4 linked regions of the Schizosaccharomyces pombe genome follow. Changing the gene in region 1 together with any one later gene gives a genetic interaction. Each region holds a gene or a part of one and is shown in the gene's direction. Other genes may lie near its edges.

Evidence for each region.
Region 2: of smn1 (region 1) and nup97, a mutation in one rescues a mutant of the other (synthetic rescue), as found in Schizosaccharomyces pombe (one study listed by BioGRID).
Region 3: of smn1 (region 1) and inp53, a mutation in one rescues a mutant of the other (synthetic rescue), as found in Schizosaccharomyces pombe (one study listed by BioGRID).
Region 4: mutations in smn1 (region 1) and nem1 impair growth when combined (synthetic growth defect), as found in Schizosaccharomyces pombe (one study listed by BioGRID).

The regions. Positions count from the first base shown.
Region 1 is NC_003424.3:821,552-825,170, reverse strand, and holds smn1 (SMN complex subunit Smn1/Gem1), read left to right. Parts: upstream 1-2,216; 5' UTR 2,217-2,321; coding exon 2,322-2,682; exon of another isoform or gene 2,683-2,741; coding exon 2,742-2,839; 3' UTR 2,840-3,079; downstream 3,080-3,619. Other genes in the region: SPOM_SPAC2G11.09 (Ca(2+) transporter), read right to left, coding at 1-1,277, 1,387-1,432; protein phosphatase PP2C catalytic subunit Ptc3, read left to right, coding at 3,467-3,619. UniProt on the Schizosaccharomyces pombe protein: The SMN complex catalyzes the assembly of small nuclear ribonucleoproteins (snRNPs), the building blocks of the spliceosome, and thereby plays an important role in the splicing of cellular pre-mRNAs.
Region 2 is NC_003421.2:2,163,193-2,169,774, forward strand, and holds nup97 (nuclear pore complex component nup97), read left to right. Parts: upstream 1-1,828; 5' UTR 1,829-1,839; coding exon 1,840-2,033; exon of another isoform or gene 2,034-2,082; coding exon 2,083-4,444; 3' UTR 4,445-4,606; downstream 4,607-6,582. Other genes in the region: protein Cwf26, read left to right, coding at 28-926, 967-973; SPOM_SPCC1620.12C (GTPase-activating protein), read right to left, coding at 4,607-6,523. UniProt on the Schizosaccharomyces pombe protein: Has a role in meiosis.
Region 3 is NC_003424.3:1,986,613-1,993,332, reverse strand, and holds inp53 (inositol polyphosphate phosphatase), read left to right. Parts: upstream 1-2,227; 5' UTR 2,228-2,357; coding exon 2,358-5,824; exon of another isoform or gene 5,825-5,861; coding exon 5,862-5,970; 3' UTR 5,971-6,075; downstream 6,076-6,720. Other genes in the region: mitotic septin Spn4, read left to right, coding at 404-1,546; PAK-like GC kinase Sid1, read right to left, coding at 6,105-6,720.
Region 4 is NC_003423.3:3,371,400-3,376,303, forward strand, and holds nem1 (Nem1-Spo7 phosphatase complex catalytic subunit Nem1), read left to right. Parts: upstream 1-1,902; 5' UTR 1,903-2,065; coding exon 2,066-3,496; 3' UTR 3,497-4,153; downstream 4,154-4,904. Other genes in the region: RNA polymerase I transcription factor subunit Rrn6, read right to left, coding at 1-785; U3 snoRNP-associated protein Utp3, read right to left, coding at 4,162-4,904. UniProt on the Schizosaccharomyces pombe protein: Catalytic component of the nem1-spo7 complex which acts as a phosphatase and may be required for proper nuclear membrane morphology.

The DNA.
Region 1 (3,619 bases):
CCAACCTTGAAAAAACTTATGCCATCTACCGATATAGGTATTATGCCACTGAATATCATTTGCTGCAGGTGCCAGTTCAATATGCAAACCCATCAATGATTTGCTGTCAATATGAGTTTGGGCTACAATTTGCGCAGTCGCCATAGATTCAAACGTTATAAACGCCTGACCTGTGGTAGGATAATCAAAAGAACGAGCATTTTCAATCTGTTGGCTTATTTTATAAAGCTTAGCCGAATAAAAATCGATTGCGTCAATCTTTTGACCAAAAATACCAAAAAAATGAGTTTTTATTAACGGATGGCATTGATGATGTTGCCAAGGAACCTCCAAAAGTTGTTCTGGTGTTGATTCAAGTTCTGCTCTGTTTGGACTAAGATAATTCGAAGGAGGTAAAGTGGAAATTCCAAGCTTTTTGCAGTTACTTAAATAGATAGACCAATATTTTTCTAATTTCTTGACGTATTTACTTTTTTTAGACAGTAATATATCCATGTATGAGTAATTTCGGCATATACTTAAACTGTCTATAGAACCCACATCTAATTTATCAAAATATGCTTTTAAATTTTCCGTTGAACAAAGTTCATTAGGTAAACCAGATATAAAAACGGTTCTGTCCGTCAATCTATTTTGACGAGCCAGATATGATTGACGAATGTCAGCAATCGATTTTGTTGAGGAAAAAAGAACATAAAGAAGAAAAATGGAAATAAAGTAAGTAAAAAGAACGTAAAGATAGAGAAATCCATCACCAGGCTGTGGAAGACCTGGTATATCAGATAAATTACCAATTGGATTAAATAAAGAAGGTCCTAACACACCAACATTTAACTCACTACCATTAGCAATAATAGGAGATTGTACAATTGACTTCTTGACAAGTGGACTTGAGAAGAAATATTCAGATTTGGCAGGCATCGACAAAGTAATATTCCCGAATGCATCTCCACGAAAATGCTTATTGACGGGCATAATAATCAAAACGCCAAGCAGGGAAGCAAAAGAAAGGAATTTTATACCCATTTTAAAAAACAATAAAAAAACGTAGCCGTCCAAACCAGCACAATTTTGCACTACATCATCAGGGATGTTTACTAAATCCATTAACCATTTGTAGTACGATGAAGAAAGTGTAGGTAAATTGAGACCTTCAATGGTAGTTCTAGGGGCATATAGTACTTTCCATCTTTTACGAAAGAAGCAAAAGAATACGCATGCAGAGGCTCCAAGTAAAAAGGCGAGCCAAAATTGAGTTCTTAAATCGCTCGATGGATCTGTTTTCAGCGATGAATCTCGAATCTGTAGGAATTAACACCCGCAGATCGAAGATTCAAACAACGTTAGCAATTTTGTTACAAATGAGGGAAGGATAGGTATACTTACTTTTTCTAGGATCACTGTCGAAAATACCATATCCATTGAAAGCCATTATTGCAAAGTAGCAAACTTAAGGGTCCTTTCGTCAAATTATCGAGGAATGAATGAACGATCGTTTCAGAAAATCGAGAACAAGAAAAATCTGATCTATCCAAGTATTATATGCATGTAAAAAGTAACGGAAAAAGGAAATTATCAAAAGATACACTATTGAAATATGTTATGATAGTTTTTCATGAACGAAAATCTTTAAAATATGAATGTATGTAGAGGAGGGATAGTAGAACGATACTCATCCAATACCCATTCGCATGGTCTTTCAGAATGCGATATGTACTTAACGTAAATTAAGATGACGATGCATAAAAATATGTAACGTAATTACGTGGAGCTACCTTAAATTCAATTAGGTAGTTTAAAATCTATCCCAGAAAGCTAACTTACTGAGAAGTCCTCGCTAAACCATATTAGCGCATGTAGCATTTAATGAATTATTCGTGTGGATATTAGATAACTGATTTAGGTTGATTTTTGTAGCTTATACAATTCCTTTTTCTTTTTGGTATAATAAAGCCAAAATCGTAAACAAAGATGAATTGGAATAAACATTCTTTCACAATACTTCCACGAGTTCACATCGCCATGTGCGAACCTCGTTATATCTTTGACCTCGAATTCTTGTAGTCCTGTCCACTAAGGCGGCTGATAGTTAAGGCAAGGAGCTAAGTTACCACAGCAGATTATAATTGTTGTAGTAAGCGGAATCGCCGAGCTCAAACTGTTTATCGTTATACGCGTTGTGCTTTATAAACAATATTTTCACTTTAATAATATTCAATTAATATAAGAGTTAACAAAGTTGGAAACTACTTGTTAATAAAGCTTTCTTAAGGTACAAAGAAAGACATACAGGAATAGATTATCTACAACTTGTACCAAAAATGGACCAGAGCCAAAAAGAAGTGTGGGATGATTCAGAGCTCAGAAATGCCTTTGAAACCGCTTTACATGAATTCAAAAAGTATCATAGTATTGAAGCAAAGGGAGGAGTATCGGACCCGGATTCTAGGCTAGATGGTGAAAAATTAATTTCAGCTGCACGGACAGAAGAATCAATAAGTAAGCTAGAAGAAGGTGAGCAGATGATAAATCAGCAAACAGAGACGACATTGGAAGGAGATACACATATCCAACAGTTTGCAGATAATAAAGGCCTTAGCGACGAAAAGCCTGAAACAAGGGCAGCAGAGACACATCAAGAGTTTATGGAAGTTCCTCCCCCTATAAGAGGGTTAACATATGGTAAGTAAAAGGTCTTCTAAGAAAATTTATGACTCTCTATTATTAACATAATGATTTAGACGAGACTTACAAAAAGCTTATCATGAGCTGGTACTATGCGGGCTACTATACAGGTTTAGCTGAAGGACTTGCTAAAAGTGAGCAACGTAAAGATTAGCTTCTTGTGCTATTTTTCAAAGTTATGTATATCTTCATTGTTGATGTTGTTATAAAACTGTTATCCTACTTGCTATTGCTAAGATTTATTACTCCTATCAAATAGTTCTATTTCAATTTTCTTTCTAATAAGTAGAATTTATTTGGTCATTTATTAAATCCAATGGAATTTTTAATTGAATCAAAATAATATCATTTTTGCCTAATAGAAATTTTTTCTGAATCAAGTTGCTGAATTTGTTGGGGCATTCTACTCAGCGTTGTTTTTGTCTCTATTGTAGTCATAGTAAAATGCAAACCATTGAAAAATCAATTTATAGGATATGCTATGTTTACACATGTTTTTTAATGAACATTTGAAATTTATAAGTATTTAGTCCTTGATACCATTTATTCTGTTGTTTACATATATGCCTTGACTACTGCTAATCTTGTTACCTTCCATAGTCTTTTAACAACTATCGTTCGTCTCCACGGTGGTGATGTAGTTGTAGAGGGTGCCACAACACTCCCTCCGACAAGCTCCACCACCTACTAGCGATTTACCTATCACTACTACATAACCCGTTTTGAAGCGACACAAAAAGAAAACGTGAAAATTTGTGTCATCTATTAGCAAGAGCTGTCAATGGGTCAGACATTATCAGAGCCAGTCACCGAGAAGCACTCGGTGAACGGGAGCAATGAGTTCGTCCTTTATGGACTTTCAAGCATGCAAGGATGGCGTATCTCAATGGAAGATGCTCATTCTGCTATACTTTCAATGGAGTGCTCTGCAGTA
Region 2 (6,582 bases), on another chromosome or scaffold:
AGGTAAGAAAATATGCATTCAGCACATATGTCAAACGCCGACTATATTGCTAAAAAGTATTTACGAAAAGATCAAGGGAAAAAGAAAAAGAAGAAAGAGAAGGATTTTGTAGAAATTCAGGATGAAGATGTCGCTGGATGGGACGATGACAATTCATTTTCACTAGTCAACAGAGAACTCACATCTTTGCATGATGCCCCTACAATTGTCGCAAATGAAAGCCTTAAAGATCGAGATATTGATGCTATTTATCAGAATATAGAAAAAACTACTAATAAACCTGCTCAGTTGTGGAAAGCTGTGGGGAATGATGAAGTTGTCGAATCTGAACAACAGGATTCTCATGATGCTGAATCAATTCCTCAGTTCGGTCTGTTAACTGGAAAGCAGGTGACCTTTAAAGCTGAAGAAAGAAGAAAGAGAGAAGAGAAATCATCCAATCTTGATGAGGAAGAGCTTCGCAAAAGTCGCGAAACTGTTTACAGAGATGCCACAGGGAGAAGGATAGATCTGGTTCTTGCAAGAAAAGAAGCCAAAAGAAAATTAAAAGAGAAAGAGGAAGAAGCTAGAAGACAGAAGGAACAACAACAAGGTGTGGTTCAAGTGCGTCAACAGAAAGAATACCTAAAAGAACTTGAAAGGCAAAAAACGGTGCCATTGGCGCGTTATGAGGACGATCCTGAATACAATAAGGAATTGAAAGAAAGGTCTCGTTGGAATGACCCAGCTGCTTCGTTTCTCACTAATAAACCTGTATCATCAAAAGCTACTTATCAAGGATATGCGCCTCCCAATAGGTTTAATATACGACCTGGCCATCGTTGGGATGGAATTATTCGTGGTAATGGATTTGAAAATAAATGGTTTCAGCGCCAAAATGAGAGAAAGGCACAAGAACACGAGGCACATATGTGGGCAATTGAGGAGTAAGTAATCAGTTTTTGAATAAATCTCTAACGAAATCAGCATGTAAATATTTAACGATTTCATTATTTCTTCTGCTGAAAATGGAGGAGACTATTTGGTTTCATGTATATGATATTGTAATGCGAGTTGAACATAATCTCTTCTAGTTTACGAGTGTCAACCGAGGCACAATACTTGATTTTCCAGATTCTGTCCCATTTCCTTTAATTAACTAATGGCTTTGATATTTACCTACAAAAGCAAAACGCTTATAGCAAATAGCTTTATTGGGAAATCGCACACCACGAGACAATGGTAGCCTTATCTATACTAAAATATTTTTTGCTAGTTTATATATATTTATTTTTAAATTTCTGACGATTTCTTAATCCTATATTCAATTATGGGTCATTAAACGTATGAGTATGAGCGACCACGGCTGTTAGTAGTAAGAGGGTTTGAAATATCATCCATTCAGTTATTTCTCTAAATTCTGAACACTTTTTACCAATATTAAATATCATTTCCCTATTGCTGTCCCTAAGGGCCCAAATAATTCACTGCTGATTCTGTGAATTCATATGTATTGGCTTTTAAATGATAGTAAGAGCTAAACGAGAACAATCGATGTTTGAAAATAGTATTTTAAAATTTTTAATTTTATACTTTTTAAGCCCTTTCACATCCACATAGACAGACTTGACTTCACACTTGCTGTATACGTAAAGCAAAGCTTTTTGCATAAGAATTTGTAATTCCAACCGAGTACAAGGATGATTCAAATACTCTTTAACGTTTTACTGTTGACCTGTTTAGTATGAAATATTGTTTTTAACAATTAAGGTTCGGTGAACTCGGTGACTTCAATTTCCTTAGTTCACCGAGACAGATTCTCTCAAACGCATTGTGCTTGTTTACATCTTGACCATCGCCATGACGGTTGCGTCTGACGATTCACCAAAGGAAGCTAGAGGCATACCTTTTTTAGATCAAAAGTCTCGTAAACTTGCTAATGAGTTGTTGGAACCATGTCTTCCGTTTATCCAGTTCAATTTGGGTGAGATTGAACAACGCGCAAAACATTACTTGAACACCGTTCCTACTAGTAAGGATGGTAATACAAAAGCGTAAGTTATTTGTATCCTATTAGATATATTTGTCTAATGAACGATATAGCCATTATTTGCTTGCTGGAAGCGGTATTAATGCCGAACAAACATGGAAGAAAATTGAGTCGCTCTCTCTACAAGTAAGACCTCCCACTACTCTCGAGTTGTCCTTTACCGATGTAGATATGTTTTTGAAGTATCATCGAGAAAAAAATGTTTTAAATTCTTTGGAAGCATTGGTACAAAACACCCAAATAGCGTTCGATCAATATTTGGAAGAGGAATGGCGTTCCAAAGCTGCAAAAAGCAGACCCTCCTTTGATAATATTTTACTTGAAAATAAAAAGAGAGTATCCTTTTATCCTTTCTCGGTGCAACGTTCGCAGAAGTTTGCTTCCACTTTAAAAATGTGTCTTGAGGAGGAAGCACTGCACGGATTTCAATCAAAGCTTGTCAGTTCTTTTTGTGAGGTTGCAAGAGAATTTGCTCATGATACAAAGTCTCTTCTCCTTTACGAATCCTGGAAGTTACTTTCCTCTGTTATATTGGATAAGGATTCTGTGACAGTGTTTGGCAATAAAGGCATAATCTCAAAAGCCTTTGACATTGAGACTGAGGATGGCTCGGTTAACTCTCGGTTCTATCAAAGGATTTCTGACTGTTCCCGTAAGTTCCTTGAAGCTCAATTTTTTGAAGTTTTGAATAAGGAAATTGCAAAAACCCCCCAGGCTGCTTTGGTAGGCGGTGTTCCTTCAATACGTAACAAAATTCGAGCGTATTTGAACATTCGTCTATTAAGGAACGGTGTTTGGATTAATCCAGATTTAGAAATAATCCAAGATGTTCCTATATGGGCTTTCATATTCTATCTATTACGATGTGGTTTTTTAAAGGAAGCAGTGGACTTTACTGAAGAAAACAGAGATCTTTTTGAAAAGGTGGCTGAGAAATTTCCTTTTTATATCAATGCTTATGCGAAGGCTCCGAATGGTATTTTACCAAGGCAACTTCGGAGTCAATTGTTTTCTGAGTTTAATCAAACCATTCGTCTACAGGAATCTTCTGATCCTTATAAGTATGCAGTATACAAAATAATTGGACGCTGCGACCTTTCTAAAACTTCGTGTCCATCGATTTGTTCTGTCACTGAAGATTACATCTGGTTCCAGTTAATTTTGTCACGTGAATTTACTGAAAAAAGCGTTTCCGCTCACGAATTTTTTTCATTGGAAGATGTTCAACATATTTTGCTTTCGTATGGCTCCGATTATTTTACTAACAACGGATCTAATCCCGTTATGTACTTCTTTTTGTTAATGCTTTGTGGTCTTTACGAGCGTGCCATTAATTTTTTATATCCTTATTTTCCAACCGATGCAGTCCATTTTGCCATTACTTGCGCATACTACGGTCTGTTGCGCACTGCACCTTCTAGCTCAGTTGTCAGTAATGAACCTGGAAAGATTCAATCAATGCTGGTTGAAACAAAATCTGGGAAGCCTTCCCTTGAATTCGATCGGTTGTTAATCGATTATACCCAAACTTGTCAAGAATTAAGTCCTGTAATGTCTGCCTGTTATCTTATACCAATGTGCAAAATTGATAAATATATCTCGATGTGTCATAAATCTCTGTGCAGTTTGGTACTTTCTACTCGTGATTATGTTAATCTTCTTGGCGATATACGTGGTGATGGCGAGAGGACTCCTTCCTTTTTGGAGAATCACAGGTCTTTGATTGGTCTTTCTTCTGTAAAAGAATACTTATCAAAAATCACTCTTACTGCTGCTAAACAGGCTGATGATCAGGGATTATTATCTGATGCCATTCTTTTATATCATTTAGCTGAGGATTACGATGCGGCAGTAACAGTTATAAATAGACGGCTGGGCTCTGCATTGCTAAGGTTTTTGGACCAGTTTGTTTTTCCCGATAAACTTATATCTTTAACTAAAAGTATGATGGATGTATACAACAGAAACCCTTCTTTGTATGCCAAAGTGGATTACAAAAATCGCGAGACGACGAATTTGCTTTTATTGACTGTGGAGGCGTTCAATGCATATACCAATAAAGACTATGAACAAGCTTTATCGTCTTTACAGCAGTTAGAAATTTTACCCCTTGACCCACTTGACTCAGACTGTGAAACTTTTGTTGTGAGAAAACTTGCAAAAGAATTTCGATTTCTCAATGAAAATTTATTACAAAACGTACCTGGTATTGTTTTAATAGCCATGAACAGCCTTAAAGAACTTTATGCTAAACAAAAATCTTCATCTTTTGGAAATGACGCTATATCCGTGGATAAGTTACGCCTATATAGACAAAAAGCACGAAGAATTGTCATGTACAGTTTCCTGATAGAATATCGTATGCCTTCTCAAATTCTTGAACAGTTAAATCGCTGCGAAATAGAAATGACATGATTATTTTTTTAAGGTTGTTTATTCTATGTTTACTTGACTTCACTAAATTTTTATGCCTATACATTCATTGAGTCCTAATTATCCATCATTAAAAAAGTGTTGAATGCACTAGTCTTCATGTTAATAATAATAGCAATAAAGAGTGATCTTTGGTTTATCGTGCTAATTTCTAAACATCTCAGAGACACTTTTCCATTTAGTTTGTAGCTGAGCATGTTTTTCCTTGAGGTCATTTAGCTGCTTTAAAGTCTTTCCAAGTTCCTCATCAAGATATTGTATTTGTTGAATTGAAGTAGCATTGTTTTTAAGAAATTTTTGATTGCGCTGCTTAAGGATTGAGATTTCTTGAAGAAGCCTATTTTCCAATTCCTGAGGCTGTTTCTCTAATTGAGCTTTCAGATCAGCAGAATTATTTTTTAAAATTTCTGTAGCCTCCTCCATTTCGCTTCTTGTTACTCGATGGTTGGAAAGTGCTTCAGAAAGTTTAGTGTTTTCCTTATTCAACATAACCATTCCCTCCTCTAAATTAGTTATCTGAGAGGTTAAATAATCATTTTGATTTTTAAGTTCCTCTAAGTTATTTTGGCGATAGGTGTTGTGAGATACGGAGGTTTCGTGATATGAAAGATAGGATGGGAACTGAGTAGTATCGATGTTTAGAGCAAGTGAATCTTCAACCCATGCATTTAAGTCGACAGGAGTTCTTGTGTAAAATGTATACTTTTGGACCAGAGGCTGCCGATATGAAGCTAAAACGTCTGAGCGTAAATACTTAACCCACTGTTCATGAGAAACCATATTTACAATCTTGTCCCGATCCTTTAAAAAAATAGCAACAAGAAGACGCACAAACATTTCCAAGCCGTAGATAGCAATTAAATCCATAAGGCGGAGTGCTTCGGGTAATTGCAACGAATCGGCAAAGCAGCATGCTAATGATGGATATAGTATACACAATGAACTAACTTTTATACGTTGTAATGAGATAGCGACACTTGGTGCCAAGTCACCCAAACAACCCCAAACCAAAGCGAAAAGACTTTCGTCAAGAGAACTGGATTGGGATATGAAAAACTCACGAATTCCACCTCTTTGAATGAAACAAACTAGCGAACGGAAGGCGTTTCCTTGAGCCATATACGATAGAAAAGCACAAGTTAACCATAGCAAAGGTTCAATGTTATACTCAACAGTTGTATCAAACAAAGTAAAAGCATGCAAAACGTGAAATATAGACTCAGTTGAAACTTTATGCCTTGTAGTAGAAGAATATTTAAAAGGCTCCAAAGGTCCTCTGAAAGATTGCATACGAATAATCTTCCGAATAGAAGAATCCAAAGAATTATTAGTAGTACTTAAAGTAGCGTAAAGTGTTAGAAGTTCATTACGTTCAGCGGAAACAAGGGATTGCCAGACCAGTTTTCGACACGGAGATGGAATACAAAAGTTATTTTGTTTAATTAGTTCTAAAATCGGTGTCAAGGGAGGGGGAGAGGAGGATGTAGCATTGGGATTAGAAGGATCAGGCGGAAGGTCATAAGCAAAAAGAGGCACACTGGCCCATTGAAGCCAATCGATATTAGAAACGGGAATTGACTCTTTTTCACATTGTTGATTAAGCTCGAAAATGATTGATTGAATACGTGAATCGTTAATGGCGCTATTTAAATCGCCGTGAGACTTGTAGGAATCGCGTAATTGTTCAAATTCTGTTTGATTATTATTTATTTTGGAGGATGAAATATTGGTAGATGCAGTTGACATAAAGGATGGAACAGGGGAATGACCTTGAAGAGGTTGAATGTTAGGTTTTTCAACGGCCAAGCGATTATCGCTTTCCTGGGGAGGAGTGGGACGCAACATAGAAGAATCTATAAAATTAAGTTCCCGATCCTGTTCTTCCGTTTGCTGCAAACTAGGAGATGAGTAGTCTAAACTAATTTCCTTCATTGAGTGGTTTGAGGATTCCGAAGACCCAACTGAGACAGCAGAGCCATTTTGAAGGTTCTCCTTTAAGTTTTCTTGTTTCACCAATGTAACGCTATTAATTGCGCTAGATAGGGAAGCGTTTACAGATTTCTGGAGTATCAAGATTAGTTAGACACCTGAAATGATTGAAGTAGATAGATATTAGCAAA
Region 3 (6,720 bases), 1.2 Mb from region 1:
ACATTAAATCAATAACTTAAATGCATACTTCCCAGCAATCTATTTCTGTTACGTAGTATAGAGGTTTTTATATATTTGCCAAGCATAATTTCTGGCATTCAGAATCTTTATGAAATTTAATGAGCAAACTAGTAATGATAGTTAGTATATTTACGAGACGAAAGCCCGTTAAAAATATAATGAGGTATAGTGATCATATAGTTATATCGCTAACGAGTGATTGCAACGAAGCTTCGATTATCTATTTACTTAGACCTTCCGTTTTTTACCATTTATGCTTTAATAAAACTAATAACAATTCTCTTGCATTTTTTGGAAACTTTTTTATTTAGTTTGGAAGCTTTTAAGTCAATATTTTACAGACCGTTAAACAAAGGAAATATACTATTCATCTCTGCGCGTCATGAATGAAGAAGAGACAAACTTCGTTGGAATTGCGGATTTACCTAATCAGCGTCACAAAATAGTTTCACGAAATGGTGTAGCTTTCACTTTGATGCTTTGTGGAGAGTCGGGTCTTGGTAAAACAACATTTTGTAATACACTCTTTTCAACAACAATTAAATCACATATGGGCCCGGAAAAGGTTCGTGCGAAGCATGCTGAGAAAACGGTCGAAATAGAGATTACAAAAGCTGAGTTAGAAGAAAAAAATTTCCACTTAAGGTTGACAGTAATTGATACCCCTGGTTTTGGGGATTTTATCAATAATTCAGGATGTTGGGAGTCGGTAGTTGAATTTATAGAAGACCAGCATGAATCGTACATGAGACAAGATCAGCAGCCAGATCGTCGTAAGATCATTGATATGCGTATTCATGCTTGCCTATATTTTTTGCGTCCCGTAAGAAATGGTGTTCGGCCTATGGATTTGGAGGCTATGAAACATATTTCTAAGCGTGTCAATTTAATTCCTGTCATAGCTAAAGCCGATATGTATACTCGAAGGGATTTAGCTCTGTATAAAACTAGAATTTCTCAAGTTTTAGAATACCATCAAGTCAATGTTTATAAACCTAATATGGATGAGGGCGATCCCGTTTTTCACAGACAAATTCAAGGAATCATTAATTGCATGCCATTCGCGATTGTTGGAAGCGAAGATGACATCCGTACTCCTGATGGTAGGGTCGTTAAGGGTAGAGAATACCCATGGGGAATTGTTGAAATTGAGAACGAAGAACACTGCGACTTTAAACAGCTTAGGAATATTTTAATTCGGAGTTGTATGCTTGATTTGATTCAAACTACTGAAGAAAAGTTGTATGAGCAATATCGACAAGAGCAGATGAAAGTTCGCCAGTATGGAGAACCTAAACTGCGGACTATTGATAATGCGAAATTTAAGGAAGAAGAAGAAAATTTGAGAAAAAGATTTACAGAACAAGTGCGCGTAGAAGAAACTCGATTTCGACAATGGGAACAACGCTTGATTGCCGAACGCGACTCATTAAATAAAGATTTGGAAGCTCAGCATGTTCAAATAAAACAAATTGAACTTGAAATCGAACGACTAAAGGCGGCTACCAGCTCTCGCAAACGTTAGAGATAATGTTAAAATATAACGAAACTTGATACCCAATTATCATTTGGGTTTGTTTGCTAGTGAACCATACTATCATCTTTTATGGTCCTTCATTTCTAATACATAATGTCAAACGTCTATCTTGCCTCCCGTATAAATTACATTCTTTAGACAATCAATTAACTATATGATTTTATTTTATTTTTTCTATGCCTTTATACACTCTTTTATTGTGGTTTTATTCAACGTATAGTACATATGCTTTCATAAGTTGCTCAATTTTTATATAATTTTGATATCGAATAAATTTTCTGTATCTTATAAAATTTCTTGCATAAGTACTTAAAATTTCTCGTTTTGTGTCTTTCTGAAATAAAATTGTGCAATGTGTGTTTATAGTCAATGCTTAATAATATGTTACAAATATTTAGCTACATGACAATATGATCTTTCATTGCCTTGAGAATGGCTTTCAAAATTGTTTCTATAAATGTGAAGTAAACTATTTAGTTAAGCAATACAAATGCCTAAAAAATATTTGATAGTTTTTTGGAATTCCTAATTTGTATTATGCGAATTTCTACATCATCTTCCCTTTTGTTTTCTGTAAAAATGATTATTTGGAGTATTGTTGATGCGTGTGTTTGAGTGCACGAGGCTTTGTTTATTTCATAATAGGTCAGCCCACGCAGTGTCTTGGTTGTCTTTTTCCAACAATTAGCTGAAAAGCGCAAAAGGTCCAAACAGCACCTAATAGATTTTAGAAGTATTTAAAAAAGGTGATTTATTTAAAAAATTGATTTAAAGCATAAGATTGTCGTAATCATGGAACATGGCCTCTCGCCAAGGCTTCAGCAATGTGAATGAAGATGAACCCGAGTTGCCCCCTTCGGTTTTATCATTGAAATCAAAGTTCGAGTCATTGAGTACCGGTGACCTAACTAATTTGGACGAAAAAACTGCTAAAAGAAGAACTGTAAAAGGTTGTAAAAATGGCACTTCTGAGCCAAACGTTTTTAAAGCAAGACCTATTCCACCGCCGAGGCAAGTCTCATCGACTATAGGAAGTTCGACTGGACGAAAAGTTAGTGGTTCAATTCAAAGGCTAGCTTCTAATTTTAAAAATCCTTCAAACCCCCACGCTGATGTTTCAAAAATAGATCGTCTACCTAGTGATTCTTCTGAATCTCACGTAGCTACTCCATCTTCTCCTACTATATCTAATTCATTTGTTTCTGTTTCTCCATTACTTAAGCGACCTCAACAAAAAGGGCCTGAAATTTCTTTTCAATCATCTGTACAATCTACCAAAGGAAATGATCTAATGAAACACGATGATACCAATAATCATCAAATACCACCCCCTAAACCCAATTTTTCTTCGAAAGCAGGTTCTTCAAGCCCGATATCTGTATCTCCATTAAAAAATGTTAAGGCATATATTTCTCAGTCTCCAACTCACTCCGAAGCCTCTTCGGTTCTGTCTTCTGAAGAAGAAGAAGAAAACGTTATCAATTCTAGTAAAAGTGTGCCCTCCTTTGATTTGCATGATCCATTTAGCCAGACCTTTGGAAAGGAGTGTCCCATATCGACGGCGCCTCCTGTTTTGAACATTGGAGACAGGTCTTTGGAAACTCCTCCTCCAATTCCCTCTCCAAGACCTCCACAGCCAGTTGCTGTTGAGGCTATACAGCAATCGCGTGCGGTAATATCTCAACAATTACCGCTTCATGTATCTCCCCGAAAGCCCCCAAAACCACCGCTGCGTAAAGTTTCTACCCAGCGCTCTTCTTCCCCAATAGAGAATTTGGCTACTAAAAGTGACGCCAGTCTTGTTACTGGTTTACAGTCGTCTCCCTACACTCATATTGCTCCTGCATCAGAGATGTCTTTAATACCTGAGAAACCCAGATTACCTCCCCGTCCTAGTCACACTTTATCAGAACTGTCTAGTCCAGCTTTAACATCTGAAAACTTATCTTCTAAACCATCCCCTTTGTTTCCTCCACCACCACCGAGGGTGAAATCCTTAGCTACTAACAAACCTGTCTCTATGCCTGTTTCTACTGAGCAAAGTGATCCTTCTGTTGCTGCTAGTTCCTCTTCGTCATCGCAATTAGATGTTGTTTTAAAAGGAAGCATACCAGATACTTCTAGCGTTAGGAGGAACCCGCCCTGTTTTGTTAACGGTGTTGAATCAATTAACGTAGATTTTGAAGCTAGAATCTTTGATGTTAGTGGTGATCGCCTTGTTTTAGCTGGAAACGGAGGACTTCGTGTTTATGACACCGTTACTGGTCTTTGTCATTGGCATATGCCTCTAGGGGATACGAAGGTAACGTCCTTATCATTTAAATCATCCCCGGAGAATTACTCTGACGATGGCAGATTTGTTTGGTTTGGAACGAGAGATGGGATGTTATGGGAAGTCGATGTTCAAAATCATCATATCGTTACTAAGAAGTCTGTTTCCAATTGTCCTATTACTTACGTTATGGTCTATAAAAATGAAATGTGGACGTTGGACGATATGGGAAAACTGTATGTATGGCAGGAAGATGAAATTATGGGTTTAAGTATACAGTCTACTCCACATAGTATTCGCACCATTCCTCATGCCACTCATGCTATGGTTTTAGATAATCGGCTTTTATGGGTTGTTGTTGGGAAATCAATTTATGTATATGATCCTTCAACTTCAGAAAATGAGTCGGCAAGTGTTTTGGCGAAGCCCATGACTCCACCTGGTTTGATAGGTGATATCTCTTGTGGCACTACTATTTCAAACTTTACGGATTTGGTCTTCTATGGTCACGTTGATGGAAAAATATCCATCTTTTCGAAAACCCAATACCGTTTTTTGGAGCTAATTACTAGCAGTTCATTCTATAGAATTTGTTCACTAGTTGGTGTTGGAAATACACTTTGGGCAGCCTACACGACAGGCATGATTTACGTATTTGATGTTTCTGAGAGTCCTTGGCGCCTCTTAAAAAGTTGGCATGGTCATAAAGCAAGTCACAATGGAGCTACCACTATACTTGGTATTGATGTGAATAGCGTATGGAAAGCTAAAAGGCTCCAAGTTGTTAGTATGGCTTCTTCAGTTGTCAAGTTTTGGGATGGTTTAATGATGGGTGACTGGTTAGCTACCGAAATGCGAAGCCGCTTCCCAGAATATAGTAATTTTACTGACGTGTCTATACTTATTTGTTCCTGGAATGCCGGAGCTTCAAAGCCATCTGATCTAGATAGTGATACTATTGGAGCTAGTATGATTCCAATGATGATTCGAGACAATGGATACCCAGATATAGTTGTGTTTGGTTTTCAAGAGCTAGTTGATTTGGAGAATAAAAGACTCACAGCTAGAAGCATCCTTTCAAAGTCGAGCTCCAAAGGTGGTTCGTCTAACAGTGCTAATATTTCCAGTCAGTATCGTTTATGGCGTGAAAAATTAGAATCTGAAATGATGCGGGTAAGCTCAAACGATGATTATCAGGTTTTGGTATGTGAAAATTTGGTTGGTCTTTTCTCATGTGTTTTTGTAAAAAATAAGTTACAAAGCAAAATTCGGATGTTACAATCGACAACTGTAAAAACGGGACTAGGTGGTTTGCATGGTAACAAAGGTGCAATAGTCGTTCGCTTTCTGGTAGATGATACTTCATATTGCATAGTAAACTGTCATTTGGCTGCTGGTCAATCCAATAAAGCAGCCAGAAATAATGATTTGGCAACAATTTTAGACAATGCTTCTCTTTTTCCTGAAAATGATGAAACTGATCAATTGAATACATTCGTTGGTGGTGGCGATGGCTCTTTAATTATGGATCACGAAGTTTGTGTTTTGCATGGTGATTTAAATTATAGAATCAACACATTGAGACCTAAAGCTTTAGATTTAATTAAAAAAAACGACATAAAAACTTTGCTCCAAAGCGATCAGCTTCTTGTTGAGCGAAAAAGAAATGCCGGATTTCGTCTGAGAACATTTACTGAACCAGAAATCACGTTTGCCCCAACTTACAAGTACGACGTTCATAGTGAGCAGTACGACAGTAGTGAAAAAAAGCGTGTGCCTGCCTGGTGTGATCGTATCTGTTATCGTGGAAGTCCCGACTACATCTCTGCAGAAAACTATACCAGGTACGAACTGAAGGCATCAGATCACCGACCAGTATCTGCTTTAATACATTCCAAAGCGAAGATGGTAAATGCGCAATCTCAGGGGTCCACATGGGACGTGGTCAAACGAAAGTGGATTGAGTATGCTGATGAATTTAAGAGAAAGGCTAAGTATGTTTTTTTTTGGAGAATTTTGCTAACCAACCAGAATAACCTATGTCATGAATTATACTTCTGTGTCTTATCAAACGGCTGAACAATATTTGTCTGGAAATAACTGGAATGTACAAAATGCTTTAAAGCAAGTGTCAAGTTGATTTCGAATAGTTCTCGTTTGGATGTGTTTATATATATTATGTAGATTAAATTATAGTAGAATATGCCATTATAAGTTCATTTAAATACAAAATTGTGAATGCTGTAAACAGGTTGTTTACGAGTTTTTAGTAAGCTATCCATTTAGACTTCTTCTTTTCTCAGTTTCTTCAAGCCACCGTGAAAATAGTAGTTGTGATATGGGGCTCCGCTTTTGCTTTTTGTGATGCAGTCTGTTGTCTGGAGTAATTTGGTTAACAAATTTTGAGGACAGATTTTTATCTAAAGAAATGAAAGATGTATAAAAAGATTCTAAAGATGAGCGCTGCGTTGCTGACAATTTATCATTTAATAACATCGATCGTATGGTGGACTTAATATAATGTTTCATAGCAAAATCGGAAGTCAACGATTTATGATAAGAGCTACCTTTTTCAGACAATGACTTGGAAAAAGGATGCGGTGTCGCTTGATCACTCATTATAGTTTTCTCTAAATATTTTATTGATGAAGGCAATTCCTCTTTATTTTGTGAACTGATGATGGAATTTTTAGGAATGCTAGTATTCCCTAACACAGTTGAGTCAGATTTCTTTACAGTTTCAAATGTCCAATCCTCAATGTCAGCATTTCCTTCAGCAATTGGTTCTTCAAAGGGCTTTAAAGTATTATTTATGGTTTCTTCCAATACACTTTGATCCGAATCATCAAATAATTTATTCTCCTTCTGAACAAGCAAAGGAATAATGTCT
Region 4 (4,904 bases), on another chromosome or scaffold:
GGTATAGCGGACAAGCATCCAGGTGTATTTGGCTCATCTAAGAACATTAAATCATAAGTTACCTGGAATATAACCAACTCACAAGACGATAATGCGAAGAGCAAACTTGGTTCTCCATTAGAGAAAACCAATTGTCTCACTGGTTGTGAGAATTTCCATATTGGATCCTCAGCAAACTCAAAAGCCGATACATTCAAGTAAAATGGGAATTCTTCAAAAGTTGCAGTATTTTGTAATGTCGGAGATGCACGAAAAATCCATGGAGACGAGAGGCATAAAAAGAGGAGATTTTCCGCAGTTTCATTGCTAATCTTGCTACAAGCAAGACATTCAGTTGTGGTGTATCTGTTTTTATCTGATGGCGCTGTTTTACCCAAGCAAAAAGTATTTAAAATATGTGGATTATATATAGACTCAGCAGAAGAAGCTAATTGAGACTCTTTCGCTAGTGTAGAAAATAAATTTCGCGGAACATATCTGCAAACACTTAAACCAAATGAACTACTAGTCGCTTTACGCGTGGAATTGGTGGCCTCAGCAGGAAGCTCAGTTAATTTAGGGAGTTTGTAGTTTGGATTTAAAGATAAGATATCCCATCTTTTGTCCAAGTCAACAAGCTCGACGCCCGTATAGGAGTCATACCTAGCAAAAGTCCATTCATTATTTTCAACCTTCTCCGCTCTGTGATAGCCAGATGGATTTAAAAGTTGACACGCCCCTATAATTCCATAATCCAAACTTACACTAGGTTTTTTACTAATTGCATCAATAGGCCATGTTGACATGAAGATAATTAGAAAAATAAAATTAGATTGAATTGTGTTTACAAAAACACATCTAACGACAATACAAGAGCAACCTAGCGACAAAGCAAGTAATCAGTGTTTCAAGGAAGCAATGCTGGAGTAATTTCACCTATAGTTAAGAACTTGACTTTATTGTTATACTATAATATATTTAAAGTGCTATCTTTAAACCATTATATAATTATATAAAATATAACTCCTACCGACTACATGCTTTCAATTGAACAATTTATTGATTTATGTTAACTGAGAATTTCTCTTTACTAGAAAAAGATGAAGTTTAAAAGTAATACTTAAATTAGTCATAAGACAGTGTTCAAGTAGGAGAGGAGTTCTTCTCCGAAGTCTCTAAGCTGCTATCAATTACATGTAGATTAACACAGCAACAAAACAATCTCCTTTACAATGAAATGCAAACGCTTACGATTTTGGAATGATTTAGCAATAGATAAATTGGTTTACGAATGTTGCATTAGCCCAGTTTTCCCTTTTCATAAAAAATACGTAAGGAGGTGCTGATACCTGAGGAAGAGTGCAATATTCAGATTAGCAAGTGTTTTGAATTCTCTTTAGTGTCCGCTTAACCAATTTTATCGATATGTTTATAATTTTGTAAAGTCAATAAGTTAGTTCAGCCTGTTATTTGTAAGTAATTTATTGTATGCAACGTCTAAAGGAGCTTGATACATTTTAACGTACCATTAAATATATTTAGACTTAAAAGCATCTTTCAAGTAATGTCAAGAAACCTAAAAAGACCGCTCGGCGACTTACATTCTAGCAAAACGTTGATTAAAAGAATGGCAATTAAGCTAGCTTCTACAAATATTTAGACTTTTAATAAAATGAAAATTAATTTTTCTTGCACAGAAACCCATACAAGTAAAGTTTATTAGTTAAAAAAAATGAAAGCTTCTGCAATGAACTTTCATTTTACGAACTTAATAAATATTTACACCGTATTGTTTACATTTAAATTTGTTACTTTAAGGTAGTTTTGATATATCTTCTTAAGCATTACGTCTTATGAAAATGTTATTATTTGGGTTGTAGTTCATCATTATATATATTGTGCATCGTACCACCGTGTGATTCTGGCTTTGTTTTCCCACATATTTTAGGTCTAACTAACACATATTTAATTAATTACTCTTTTTTACTAAAAGGACTCTGCTTGGTCGTTGTATACTTTGTATGCATCGCTTCTTTTGGTGAATTTTTTAATTCTTTGCAATCGCAGCAGAGAGAAAATAATTGTAATGAATTCGATTGCTAGGCTATCAGATGAAATTAATAAAGCAATCCTTGCCACTCCTTTAGACGACGATGAAGCTGACAAAGAAAAACTTGCTAATGCTCGGGGGCGAGCTTCATCAGCTACTTTGAGGCATTATAATCGTCGTAGATCGTCTTATTCGGCGTCCAGCCTTAGCAGTTTGTCATCAAAACCGACGGAAAAGGAAGTTCCTACAAGGAATGAAAAACCGAAGCATGCCAACATTATGCGTGTTGTCGTCTACTGGATTCGTGTGTTCCTGAAACGAATTTATACGTTTTTCGTTCATTCCGCTCGTGTATTTTTGTACCACTTTTTGAATGAAGAGAAAGAGTTTACCCTTGCAAGTTTTTTTTGGGGTCTATGCCGGTTTGTCTTTTTTCCTGTATTATTATCGTATAAACGCCGAGAGATGCTTCCCCCTCAGCCAAGTGTCCGCCGTCCTAGGTTTTATTCTTCTTATTCTTACCCATCCTCTCACCAGGATCCTGCCTATTCATCTTTCAAACGACATAGATCTTCTAATTCTTATAGCAGTTCTTCTAATGGAAATCATGTTCGTTTTCAGCCCTCTATTGCAGAAGAAGAAATTTCTTTCAATTCTTTTTCAAATTCATTGAATTCAGAAGAAGATGTGTGTGTTTCTCCTATGAAACCCAAAGAGGTCTCCCTAATGGGAAAAGCAAATTCCAATCGTTCAGGACATTCGCATCAACCTCAATCAACTCAGTTTTCCCCGCCTGCTAATGACAATATTTCTAAGCTGCCTTCCTCCTTTACGATAGTTAATGATCCTCTTAAATCTCCTTCTTCTTCCCGTCTCCGTATTAGAAACATTACTCTGTGTGCGGACAAAATACCGAGGCCTTTGTTGAATAGCAAGTTACCGAGAAAGACCCTTGTATTAGATTTGGATGAAACACTTATCCATTCCGTGTCTCGTGGTAGTCGAACGACTTCTGGACAGCCAATTGAAGTACATGTGCCTGGTGAACATCCAATCCTTTACTATATTCACAAAAGGCCTCATCTTGACTACTTTTTATCAAATGTGAGTCAATGGTTTCGCCTTATTTTGTTCACAGCATCTGTCCAGCCATATGCTGATCCAATAATTGATTATTTGGAGCGTGATAAAAAAATATTTGCTAAACGATACTACCGTCAACACTGTGCACTTGTCGATAGTTCTTTCGTTAAAGATATTTCCATTTGTAATATTCATCTTTCACGGATCATGATAATTGATAATTCTCCAGCCAGTTACAATGCTCATAAAGAAAATGCCATACCTATTGAAGGTTGGATTAGCGACCCCTCTGACGTTGATTTACTAAACTTACTTTCTTTTCTTCATGCACTGCAATATGTTCATGATGTGCGAGATCTTTTGGGGCTTCGTCTCGCAAAATAAGTGCTTTTCATGATTCCTTTTTTTTTTCGTGAGTAATTTACTCGTTATTTATCACCAGTAACGATGGTCTAAAATAACTTTTTCTACTGCATTAACATCTTGGGTGCCTTTCCTTTCTCATCATCAAACTTCTTTGTTATAACCTCAAAAGGGTACCTTTTGGATATTTCCTAGACCGCATTTGGGCCATTCCAGTTAAATAATTTTTGTTTCTTTTTGCTGATAATATGTCAATTAATGTAAGCCTAATCGTAAGAAATTCTTTCTAATAAACTAAACGCATGTTTTAAGAAAGATTAGTTTCTGCACTGATGTTCGCAGCAATTACGAAGGCAACTTACTTATGAAATTTCTTTCTAAATCAAGCTTTTAATAAACATGTTTATTCTATTTAAGTGTTGATTCTTTTTTTTTTACTTTTCAATCTGTTATTACAATCAACTTACTTAATCAGGATGGGCAAAGGATTATAAATGATTTAATGATTATAAACCAGATTACATAGACTTTTAGCATTTTAAAATCATATCACTAGGCTAACGACATTGTTCTAGCAAATAACATAACCCAAAACCACATTATTATTATATGTATCTAATAACACGAAAATTCAAAAAACCTAATATATGCAGAATTAATAGTTGAATCAATACCAACCACCACTTCTATTGAAGTTTAATACTTTTAACTAAACCAGCTTTAATACCAGTCTGCTCACCAGCATAGCCGCCCTGTGGTGCGCCCTTGTAAATAGCCTTTTTGCTGGCTAATTTCTTCTTAGCTTTTTCGTAGCGCATACGCTTTTTAAGTCGAGGATTTCTATTTTCTTTAGGTCGACGGGGAGTTAATCCTCTATTTTTAGCAATGTCTAAAGTAATTCCACGCTTATCACCTTCACCTAATTCAATTAGTTCTGGGTGCCTTGAAGCTCTTATTAAATCACGTTCGAGATCGTGATTTTCTTTACGGAGCTTTTTAGCCATCTTTGATTTTTTATCGAGAGACTCGTAATAATCCAAATCATCTTGATCTTCAACTTCACGATCGACATTTGCAGGTATGCCCATTGATTCCGGATCTTCATCATCAAGATCAGCACCAGCATCCTGATTTCGACCCCTGGCTGCAGCTTCTCTCATCAATCGCTGCTGGCGTTCAAATCTTCGTTCTTTGTATGGCATGTCCAAATCACCTGATAACTCCAGTACCGCTCTGGAACGCTTAGCTGCCTTTTGGTCAATTTGATTAGCATAAAACTTTAAAGAGCGTTTCCTAGCAATCTTGTCTTCAGCATCAACATCGTCCAATCTGTTGCCTTCACCATAGTCATCGAGATTTTTAATATTAGTATTAATTTTAGATTTAGCGGCTCGAAATTTCAAAGTAATATCATCATCTTCAGCTACTG